Tribolium castaneum: one gene and its partners. The protein of the gene in region 2 interacts with the protein of the main gene of each other region in a pairwise test. Links are inferred from orthologs where the notes say so. Each region holds a gene or a part of one and is shown on either strand. Other genes may lie near its edges.

The links. The genes of interacting proteins can lie anywhere in the genome.
Region 1: the proteins of Golgi to ER traffic protein 4 homolog (region 2) and ATPase ASNA1 homolog interact in binary tests that used the Homo sapiens proteins (3 or more experiments, as listed by UniProt). The link is inferred for Tribolium castaneum from reciprocal best matches to the Homo sapiens genes GET4 and GET3.
Region 3: the proteins of Golgi to ER traffic protein 4 homolog (region 2) and eEF1gamma interact in a two-hybrid assay, tested with the Homo sapiens proteins (2 studies listed by BioGRID and IntAct, with this or other methods). The link is inferred for Tribolium castaneum from reciprocal best matches to the Homo sapiens genes GET4 and EEF1G.

What each region holds. Positions count from the first base shown.
Region 1 is NC_087402.1:8,577,426-8,580,411, reverse strand, and holds ATPase ASNA1 homolog, read left to right. Parts: upstream 1-1,325; 5' UTR 1,326-1,351; coding exon 1,352-1,461; intron 1,462-1,510; coding exon 1,511-2,393; 3' UTR 2,394-2,473; downstream 2,474-2,986. Other genes in the region: uncharacterized protein LOC103312779, read left to right, coding at 1-658; cyclin-dependent kinases regulatory subunit, read right to left, coding at 790-1,035; Arp10 (actin-related protein 10), read right to left, coding at 2,489-2,986.
Region 2 is NC_087399.1:11,237,526-11,241,711, reverse strand, and holds the start of Golgi to ER traffic protein 4 homolog, read right to left. Parts: upstream 2,802-4,186; 5' UTR 2,757-2,801; coding exon 2,644-2,756; exon of another isoform or gene 2,572-2,643; coding exon 2,493-2,571; intron 2,443-2,492; coding exon 2,239-2,442; intron 1-2,238. UniProt on the Homo sapiens protein: As part of a cytosolic protein quality control complex, the BAG6/BAT3 complex, maintains misfolded and hydrophobic patches-containing proteins in a soluble state and participates in their proper delivery to the endoplasmic reticulum or alternatively can promote their sorting to the proteasome where they undergo degradation.
Region 3 is NC_087402.1:7,326,687-7,330,687, reverse strand, and holds eEF1gamma (elongation factor 1-gamma), read left to right. Parts: upstream 1-1,188; 5' UTR 1,189-1,337; coding exon 1,338-1,349; intron 1,350-1,467; coding exon 1,468-1,617; intron 1,618-1,672; coding exon 1,673-1,888; intron 1,889-2,086; coding exon 2,087-2,381; intron 2,382-2,796; coding exon 2,797-2,844; intron 2,845-2,896; coding exon 2,897-3,357; intron 3,358-3,404; coding exon 3,405-3,560; 3' UTR 3,561-3,681; downstream 3,682-4,001. Other genes in the region: cnir (protein cornichon homolog 4), read right to left, coding at 3,712-3,778, 3,829-4,001. UniProt on the Homo sapiens protein: Probably plays a role in anchoring the complex to other cellular components.

The DNA of each region.
Region 1 (2,986 bases), on a different chromosome or scaffold from region 2:
CGGAAGCAAAAAAGTGTCCATGCACGAATTTAAAAGCGAGGCTGATCTCATCCGTATGAACAATAAAGCATTTCAGGAACTAGAAACTACAATTAAAACGGTTCAGATTGTTAAACCAAATGGAAAAACACAAAATGTTAAGAAGCAGGAGAAAAAAAGTGTGTCTAGTGAAAATTTGGCTTCGATTATGAAACAGCGGAATGATATTAAACGCGAAATGAAATCCGAGGCGTCTTCGCGAGCTGGAGGTGATGAGAAAATAAGCCGCAAAAATAAGCGTGATTTGCATACAGAAGTCAAGCAACTGCCTAAAGAAAAATGTAAAACGTTTTTGAAAACTTCGAGGATAAAATCGTTCGTGAAACCAAACCCCAGTAATCAACAAATGCGCCGTACGACGAAAAATGCGATGAAGAGGCAGCAAGTTTTGACAATTTTACCCAAAGTTGCGAAAGAAATTAAAGAGAAAAAAAAGCCGCAAGTTCGTTTGGTTGAACCCGGGGAAATAAAAACCGTGAAAATGAAAGACAGTTATTGCGTGTCCAAAAAGTCAAGTTACGTGAAATTTTCTAAAAAAATTTTGCCCAACAAAAAAATTAATCAGACGAGTTGGGAAGAAGAGGATGGTTACAAGGTTGCCTCAGTGGTGGAAGACTAATCTGTTTAAGTCTTGTCTTGTGTAAAAACGTGCAAGTGAAATAAATTGGGTTTTGATAAAACATATTATTTATTTTTTACATAATAAAAAACTTAAACCTATTTCACACTTAACAAATTTGCACAAAGTCCTTACAAGCCATTTGAGTTACTTTGCGACAGCGGTCGCCTAAACAGTAAAATGTGTGGCTCAGGAGTGTGCAACATGTAATGTACCCAATTGGGGCTTTGTTGTACCCCCAAATTGCGCCATTCTGTTTCGGTCATTAGGTGGGCCCGGGGCACGAGTTTGGCCAAATCGGCGGGTAAAATAACGTGCCGGTACTCGTAGTGCTCGTCGGAGTACTTCTCCGAGTACAAAATGTTATTTACCGGCATTTTTACGCTACAAAATGATTTGTTTTGATTGACATAACCTCAAAACCGGCATTGAAAACGTACCAGTGCTGTAAAATGCTAAAATAATGTGCTGCTACTCGAAGCAAGCAGTTAATGCACTTTTTTAAATTCGTTAAACTCGTCACTGGTGGTTCAAAATTATTGTTAAATGATAATTTAACGTTATTGTTTGAATTACGCGAAATGAACGAACGCCACTGGAATACAGAGTGGCCACCTCAACCACGTAGATAAAAAGAAAAAAACTAGAGTCGAGGTGTCAAGTTTGAGGTTAACTCAAAAAACAGAATCAACAATGTCAGATTTTGAGCCCCTGGAGCCCTCGTTAAAGAATGTGATCGACCAGACGACCCTAAAATGGATTTTCGTCGGTGGCAAAGGCGGTGTGGGCAAAACCACTTGTAGGCAAGTTCTGTCACGTCACGGCGAGTTCAATATGTAACCCCCTTTCCAGTTGTAGCTTAGCAGTCCAACTGTCGAAAGTCCGCGAGTCTGTACTAATCATATCAACCGACCCGGCCCACAATATATCGGACGCCTTTGACCAAAAGTTCACAAAAGTGCCAACTCTTGTAAAAGGCTTTAACAATTTGTACGCCATGGAAATAGACCCGAACGTGGGTTTTAACGAGCTCCCGGACGAGTACTTCGACGGGGAGCCTGAAGCAATGAGGATGAGCAAGGGCATCATCCAGGAAATAATAGGCGCCTTCCCGGGCATAGACGAGGCCATGAGCTACGCAGAAGTTATGAAGTTAATCAAAAGTATGAATTTCTCGACCGTGGTGTTCGATACGGCCCCCACAGGGCACACCTTACGGCTCCTGTCGTTCCCTCAAGTTGTTGAGAAAGGTTTAGGGAAGTTGCTACGATTAAAATTGAAGATTTCGCCACTTGTGTCACAAATTAGCGGCCTTTTGGGCATTCAGGACTTTAACGCTGACACTCTCTCCTCGAAAATGGAGGAAATGCTGTCGGTCATTAAACAAGTTAATGAGCAGTTCAAAAATCCTGACCAGACCACGTTTGTCTGCGTGTGCATCGCAGAATTTCTGTCGCTTTATGAAACCGAACGACTGGTCCAGGAACTAACCAAATGCAAAATCGACACTCACAACATTATCGTCAATCAATTGCTATTTAAAAAACCCGACGAAAATCCGTGCAAAATGTGTCTAGCAAGGTTCAAAATCCAGGAGAAATATCTCGATCAGATTAATGACTTGTATGAGGACTTCCACGTCACTAAATTACCCTTACTGGAGAAGGAAGTCAGGGGCGGGGACAACGTTAAGGCTTTTTCCGAGTATTTAATACACCCATACACCCTTAATTAACTTATGTAACTTATGTTTTTGTGTTGAAATGCTTTATTATGGTTTTTTAGGTGATTAATAAAAAAACAAAATACAAACAATTTATTACAAAAAAATTAAAGAGTCCTATTATCCCTCATATTGGGCCAATCGGGTAAGCGATTCTCCAAGAAATACTTCTCCCGTGTTAAGGCCTTCATGCCTAAGACTTCCGTTGCCCCATAAATGCCCCCACCCAACCACGCGGCATAATTTTCCTTACAGGGTGGACTATGAAACTTGAACGTCTTAATTCTCAATTTCTTGTACCTCTCATATTTCAGTTGTTTGTGTAACTCGTCTTTCAGTCTTGCTTTAAATCCGGGGGCCATGACACTACCCCCAATTAAGAGAATGTTTTCAGCGAGTTGGTTCCTCAAATGCATATCAACTTTTAGTATAGCATCAAGGATCATGGTAGAGAGGCTCAAATGGTCGTTATCTTCATCGTACAAAATTTCGTAAACCTTTTCGCGCACTTTTCCCGAGATTGTTATCATGTCGGAGCCCCCGATGGGGTACTTGACCTCGGGGGCAAAAGTGATGTCAGGTTTTGCCAAACTAAATTGTTCGGC
Region 2 (4,186 bases):
TTTATGAAATTTGCAACACACTATTTAATATCAAAGCCACCTGTTTTGGTGCTAATTTTTTTGTTATTGTAAAGCTGTAACTTATTAACAACTTTACACATTTGAGATATATCTTTATAATACATTCTCCGAGAAGCTAATTCTTTTCTTAATCGTAAAATCCATTATTGTTACTAGTTTTTTTTATCTTACAATTTTTTTTGTTTTTAAAAGAAAAAAAAAATATTTAAGTAGACGTCTTAAAATTTCGGACGATCGCCAATTATTATTTGGTTTAAAAAATCCATTTCCTTAGATTTTAGTAAGTACAAATTGTTATTTTAGTTATTAATTTATTTTAAATATTTGTTTGGTACAAACTGAACGGTATTTAGAAATTCACAACTGTGCTTTTTTTTGTTTAAATTAATAACTAGTTACAGCATTGTTAACGTAAGCGGTAAAAAAAAGGTTTAGAAAACAATAATACAGTTATTTTAGGAATAACGCAACCTGAGACCAAAATTTTCAAAATAATTTTGGTATGTAAAGTTTTTTTCAAAATACACGATTCGGTTTACATTTAATGTAATTTGCAACAAGAGATTTTTTGTGGATTTAAAATGGGAGAGGACATCATTTAAATTGAAATAATTCATTGGGTACATTGCCTTGTAGGCGATAACATTAAATACTGTTGACAAGTGACGTACTACAACTGTTGAATAATTTTTGAAGAGTTTTTTTCTAGTTTCTGGTAGTTTAGAAAATGGAAATCGTAATATGTATAACTTTTTTATTTTTGTAAATTTGCTATCCCGTCCGTTATTGCAAATAAATAAATGTTGTTATTTCTTTCATCGTGAAAAAGACCAATAATTTTTAGTTTGCAATGTCTAACTTTGATATTGTTAGTCTTTAATAATTAAAACCTGTCTGAACCATTCTTTTTTAAGTTATTTTCATATATAAGATTTTTTGTCCCATTTGTCGAGTGTTAACAAAAAGTAAATCAATCATTGCCTTATTTTTCGGTTTTGTAGTTTCAAAAAGTTCAACAGGTTTTTTTACTTTAAAAATAGTTGTTGGAATTAGTGCCTTTTAAATTAACTTTTCATAACGATTTTTATAATTATTATTAATTTTATAACGATTTTTTTATAACGTCCGTCATCAAATTGTATTTCTCTTTCGTCCTCGTATTTTAAATTTTACAAATGCAAACATTTTGTCTGGTACTAAATTCCTATAAAAAAAAATTCACCTCTACTGATAGTACTCATAAAAACTGAAAATAATATCTAAAAATTTGAGCAGTGTCCTGTCTGTTAAAATTTAAAATGGTTAAATAATAATTTTCGAAACTTTGAAATTTTGACACGTAAACTTAACTATCTCTATTCAATGTGTTAACGATAGGTAAATAATTCACAATAATAATAGAACACAAAACAATAAATATCGACTATTCCAGTAAACGTATTAAAGAAAAAAAAATATTTTTTTTGGCGCCACCTAACTTAAACGGTGCAACTTAGTACTAGGTGAGACAACCTTATCGCGCACCCAAAAAATTCGCAATTTCTAATGAATGAAAATCCTAAAATTTTACAATTATAAATTTTTATTTAGTTGGTTAAATAATCGGGCTTTTTTATTTAAACGCAAACCAGACGTGTGATTCATTACAAGATGGTATAATTTGCCAACAAAGGGATCACTTACCAGTAGCCGACCTTTTTGTAGCCCCTTATTTACAGTAATTCCATAAAATTGACAAAAACTGATGCCTGTATTCAAATATCCCACGAAATCTTTTACAATTTTACCCCAATTACAGTTCGCATTGTCAATTACATTTACGACGCCACAAGTAGCAGCTCATAAATAAAAATAATTTTTAAAGTTAAAATGTATAAGTGCGTTTAATTCAAAATCTGATTGGAATTTTTTTCGTTAATTTCGTAAACAATTATCTGAAGTGAATACGCGTAGTTTAGTATAAAATTCAGAATTTGCCCCACCTGGTATAGGGCCACAAGTTGGGTTAAATCGCGTTATTTTGGTACACCTGTAGTAAACTTTATCCTTTTACAAACCCACTTTGTATGTATACAGTTAAAATAAGAAATGGTAATTAACTTGTTAGTTTTCCGTTACCATTTTTATAACGATTAAATAACTAGTGACTCATACCAACATGACAACACTTTGACAATTATTTTAGAAGAGAAGAAACAAAATTTCGGGGAAACCCACCTGGTGCAGGAAAGGGTGTCCAAAACTTCGATGATTAGAAGACCACCTTAAGGCCTGTGCTAGAAACGTCTCCCGTTCGGGAGTTGTGGAACTAATGCTTGAAAAGATTTTGCACAACTTTGGAGTCCATCCGTCGTAGTCTTTCTCCTCAGATTTGACTAGAACATCCACTAAAAGTATTGCTAAATCTGCACCGCTGATTTGCTGCAAATTCGCTAATAATAACACATGCCAGAGATTTGGGTACCAAACACCTGATCGTGTTCGAGAAATAAAAGGGATCCATTGTAGAGCATGTCAAGAGTTTCTTTGTATTTTTTCTGGGCCAAGTACCTGAAACGTTGAGGTTAGGTGTGGAACATTCTGGAATTTTGATTCATGAAAAGGAGCAACTGCCGAAATTACCTAAAATATAAAGTCCTGTACATCTGGTGGGCTTCATAGTAGTTACCATTTTTGACGGAATTTTCTAACTTTTCTAAAACTCGAGAAACACCACGGACACTGGAAGCCGCCATGTTTATTTGGGAAATGTCACGGTCAGCCCCGATGGAGAATTTTCAGTTTTACAGTTTAAACCCTGACATTCTAAATGTACAGTGCGTTTCAACCTTAAAAGAACACTTTCAAACCTTTCTGATCGCTTCCGATTTTCTCTACTAGTGGGCAAACACAATGAGCCTATCGTCGTATTTACCTTAATTCTAATTTAAGAAACGTAGAACTTTATAAATTAATTGTGAATAATTTGGAGAACAATTTAAAACAGAATCTAAAGATGGATTTTACATCTAAAAACGGCTTCATAAAAAATCAGAAAAGATTTTTATAAGAAACTTAAAAAAAGTGCAGAAATGATACTACAAAAAAAATGTGGAAGAATTCTGAATGAAACAAGAGAAGATTTTTAAACTCTAAAAGAAAATTTGAAGCATGCATAAGAAATGTTTTTTTTTTAAATTAGTATTGTCTAGAAAATAATTCTAAAATTCTTACCTAGATCTAGAAAAAATTTAAAATAAATCTTAAGAAAAATTTAATGAAGAATAGAGAAACATTGCTGAAAAATAATTGAGACAAATTTTGAAAAGACGCAGAGAGAAATTTTGAAGAGAATTTCGTGGATGTGAATAAAATGTATGTAGAAGTTTTGAAACAATTTTGAAAAAATATTTAATAGTGTTTTGTACAATAACTAAATGCAACGGTCTGTTTGTCTCTTTCGTTCTTTTTTATTTTTAGCAACCTGTATTTAATTAAATTTAAACTCATTTGCATTTTTCAGAGTGAAATGGAAAGTTTCTGGGCTCAAAATTTGTTGCTGGGATTTAGTTTAAACTTTTTTTTTTTTATTTCTTATTCTTTCAATTTGTGCTTTATTTCACTCAAAAAATTCAAATAAACGATTGCAAATTTTTACCAAGTTTGTTTGAGAAGAAGCAAGTGGCACAGTTGGCAACATTGCCGCCATTATCTGTTTTTAACAGTGACAATGGTTTAGTCAAAAAATGTGGATATTTTAGGTTAATTGGTTAACTTCAATTTCAATGAATAATTAACTTTTGGAATTTTTTCGATGGAATTGAAAGTGAAAACAACTTAATTTTCAGCTCTTCTCAAGGAAAATTATCCGTAGATTTGTGAATCTGAGTTTATTTTTCATCCGCAATTAAGATACATTATTATTATTAATTGTAGCAATTTTATTTTTGTTTTATTAATTTTTTATCGAAGTTAGATAGCTCGAATAAAAACACAAATTGATAGTTTTTTTATAAGAAATCCCAGCGACAAACTTTGAGCCAAAAAAAATCCTCCAAAAACTTACTCCGTGGTCCATTTCACTCCAAAAAGTGGAGATGCGTTGTTCAAAGATTCTATTATCGCTTCACTTTTATAAAAACCACGTCCTAGTGTAAATTCTTTATATTTGGCCTGTGCAAGTCGT
Region 3 (4,001 bases), on a different chromosome or scaffold from region 2:
TCATTGACCACATCACATGAACGAAATGACTTTTCGTTTTGAATTTTATGAGGTTGGTATCGGTAATGAGTCGTGGTTAGGGCAGGGTAGCCAACGCGAACAGCGGACAGGGCCGGGCTCAGGCAACTTTTATACAAAATATCCTTAATCTCTGTTCATCTAACAATCACCAAAAACATAAATTAATCGCACAACCAAAGTTACAAATAAAATAAAAAAATAATAGTGTTTATTCAATAAAACAAACACAGAAGAAAAATTCGACTTGACATTTTCCAAAGCACTCTTCGCAAAAATGATTTCTTGCATGTAAGATTCAATCATATCACGTGATGATACATCGTTGTCATCAGAAGTAAAAACACTTATAACAAATACGAAATGCAAATGTGGCATTCATAAGAATACCCAAAGTTGAGTGTTGCAACTCTGTAATCAAGAACGCCTTGGAAAAAATGACGAAGGATTTAGATTTTTTTGTAAAAATTGCCTGAAGAATGTTCTACTTTTTCTTTGGTATTTGCTTGTAAAAAAAAAAAAACAAAAATTAGAAATTTTTGTGTTATTTTTTTAGTAATTCAAAAAAAACGACACCAAATTTTTTTTAGATAATTGAACAGGCTGTAAAAACAGAGTAAAAAGTACTATATTTTGGCTTTAGTTTTTTAAAACTTTCCAAAGTATGGCAAAAAATGTCTCTCTGTTAATAAAAAGTGTTTATTTTTAAATATTTATATTTTTTTTCTTCTTTTCTGAATTAACTAATAAATGTTTTTTTCTTTTTTAAAGACTATGTCATAGGCAGAAAAGCCCAAAGTTAAGTACCCCGAGGCGGCAATGCACCTAAATACGTTACTATGTGGAATTATCAAGTATTTTTTATTTATTCAAGGAACAAAGATACCACGCGATCATCGGAATTTATAATTAGAATAGACGTTTTTTTTGTATATAATGTGTATATAATTGATAGACAGGTGCATTTAGTTCTTCAGCTTAATTAATTATTATAATCAGCGTTTTCTTGGTTTTCATACAAGATAAAAAGTACCTTATAAAGCCTACTAGAAAATAGGCATTTAATCCTTTAGGGCAGAAAGTCTAAGTACGGTTCTGTTATTTTTAGTGGGCCTTTTTAAAGAAAAAAAATAATTTGTATAATTCCTGGAAGATGTGTGCAATTTAGTGTTGTTTTTTGCACAAAAGCGGGCATTTCGAGGCTGTAAAAATCGAAAAAAAAAGGCCTAAGCCCGACACGTCACCAGACCGCAAGCCCAAAATTCCCTATGCAGCTGTCAAACTCTTCAAGTCCTTTTCTGTGAGAAATTGGACGAGCAATGGCTGCAGGAGTAAGTATTATCGAAATTTCCTCAAATATCTCGCATTTATGACACAATCATCGGCAGAAAACCGTTGAATAACCCAAATCCGGCATTATCTTTGACAGTTTTGTGTTTATTTTTTCAGACACTGTACACCTATCCCGACAATTTCCGTGCTGCTAAGGCTTTAATCGCTGCCCAGTACTCCAAAAGCAATGTTAAAGTAAGCCCAAACTTTGTGTTCGGTGAAACCAACAAGTCGAAAGAATTCTTAAAGAAATTTCCCAGTGGAAAGGTGAGTCTGGACGCGCTTCAAAATTGAGGTTAAGTCACACTGGACAGTTGTATAGGTGCCAGCTTTCGAGTCAAACGATGGCAAGTATCTGCAAGACAGCAACGCAATTGCTTACTACGTCGCCAATGAACAATTGAGAGGCAAGTCGGAGTACGAGAAAGCCCAGATTTTGCAATGGGTGGGCTTTGGAGAGTCGGAGATACTCCCAGCTGGCTGTGCCTGGGTGTTCCCCATTTTGGGGGTTGTCAAGAAGAACGCCGCCACTGAGGAGGTAAATTACGTATTTTCTCGCGTCCTCCTTCAAAGGCAAATTAACCAATCCGGTTGGTTGATTTGTAACTCAAGGAGGTATATTAAGACAATTACCCATTACTGAGTGTCTCGGTGGCGCTCAGTTAAGTTATATTATTGTAACAAGTGATTTTCGCCCAGTTTTGTCACTAGACTGACCCAGTTTTCGTGATTCTAGGGATATGCAAGAGCCAAGGAGGACATGAGGGCTGCTCTGGCAATCCTAGACAGCCATTTGCTTACCCGTACTTATCTAGTTGGGGAACGTATCACTTTAGCTGATATTGTTGTAGCTTGCAATCTTTCAAATTTATACAAATATGCGTTCGATCCCGACTTTAGAAAACCATTCGTCAACGTTAACAGATGGTTCACAACTTTAATCAACCAACCTCAGTTTAAGGCCGTTTTGGGCCAGGTGCAATTTTTGGACAAAGTTGCACAACCTTTCACCGGCGCGCAGGGAGGTGAAGGTAAGCCAAAGTTTTTTTAACGGTTCAAATGATCAGTATTTAATTCTTTTGCTGCATAAAATTCTATGAGTAAATGGTCTTGTTTATAATGTATACCGTACTATGGAGAGTTAAATACTAGGAAGCAAACGTCGGTACTAACTCGATTTCTGTTTCCTAACGTTAGTGTGTAATAGTTGTTTACCTAACGAGTTTGGAAAGTGCAAAAAGTCCGGGGACTTTTTTTATATTCCTAGACTTTTTTTGTCTTCAACAGTATTTCTAGTATTTTGATAAATATGCGACGGTGTTCAAAGCAATTATCGCAATAAATGTGTTGCATCCTAGTGTCCATATGCTGCACATAATGGATTAAGTACTGTTCAGTTTATTGCAACCTGTGTTAAATCCCTTAACCCAAAAATAATTTTACAAGCTGCTAATACTAACAGTATTGTTGCGGAGAAAAATAATAAAAAGAAGAGTAAGTTAAGTGTGGTTTTATTCGTCTTGCTTAGTTGCTTTTCCACCAACAGGTAAGAACAAAAAGAAAGAGGAGAAAAAAGAGAAGAAGCAGCAGCAGCAGCCTAAAAAGGAAACACCAAAAAAGGAGAAAGAGCCCGTTGAAGAAATGGATGCGGCTGAAGCAGCGCTCGCTGCCGAGCCCAAATCGAAGGACCCCTTTGAATCCATGCCCAAAGGGACGTTCAATATGGACGATTTCAAGAGATTTTATTCTAACGAAGATGAAGCCAAATCAATTCCGTATTTCTGGGAGAAGTTCGATCCTGAAAACTACACTATTTGGTACGGGGAATATAAGTACCCTGAAGAGCTCACTAAGATTTTTATGAGCTGCAATTTGATCACCGGAATGTATCAGAGATTGGATAAAATGCGCAAACAAGCCTTTGCCTCAGTTTGTCTTTTTGGTGAGGACAATAACAGTTCAATCTCCGGGATTTGGGTGTGGAGGGGCCACGACCTCGCATTCACTGTACGTTGATTCTGTGTTTTTAAAATTGGTTTGATTGAGTTTTGTAGTTGAGTCCTGACTGGCAAATCGACTACGAGTCGTATGATTGGAAGAAATTGGATGCAAAATCAGAAGAGACTAAAAAATTAGTTGCCCAATACTTCTCATGGACTGGCACTGACAAAAAGGGAAGGAAGTTTAACCAGGGCAAAATCTTTAAGTAAAACCTGAGGTGTAATATATTTTTTTTACAACCATGTCCTTTTGATAATTTAATTTAAATCCATCGTTTGTCAGTTGTTTAACCCTAACTGTTTTTCTTTCAATAAAACGCTTTGAGGATAATTTATGTTTTATTTGAATAAACCTATTACACTATAAGTCGGCTTCAAACTGATCGTCTCTGTTGAGGGGATCACCTTTCAACAAAGCCACAATCATGCTAAAAATAAACAAGTTGCGCAATGTTTGATATAAATAGACACAACTCACCAGTACAGATACGCAAAAAAGAACAGTAAATAATATCCTAAATAAATCATACAGTCCCTCATATGCTTCTTTAATTGACCTCTATTGTGAATCTCTGTGGGGTCATAGATCCCCAAATTTCCACTTGGCACTGATACTAACTCATACACCATCCAAAATGCCATTGGCAAGTT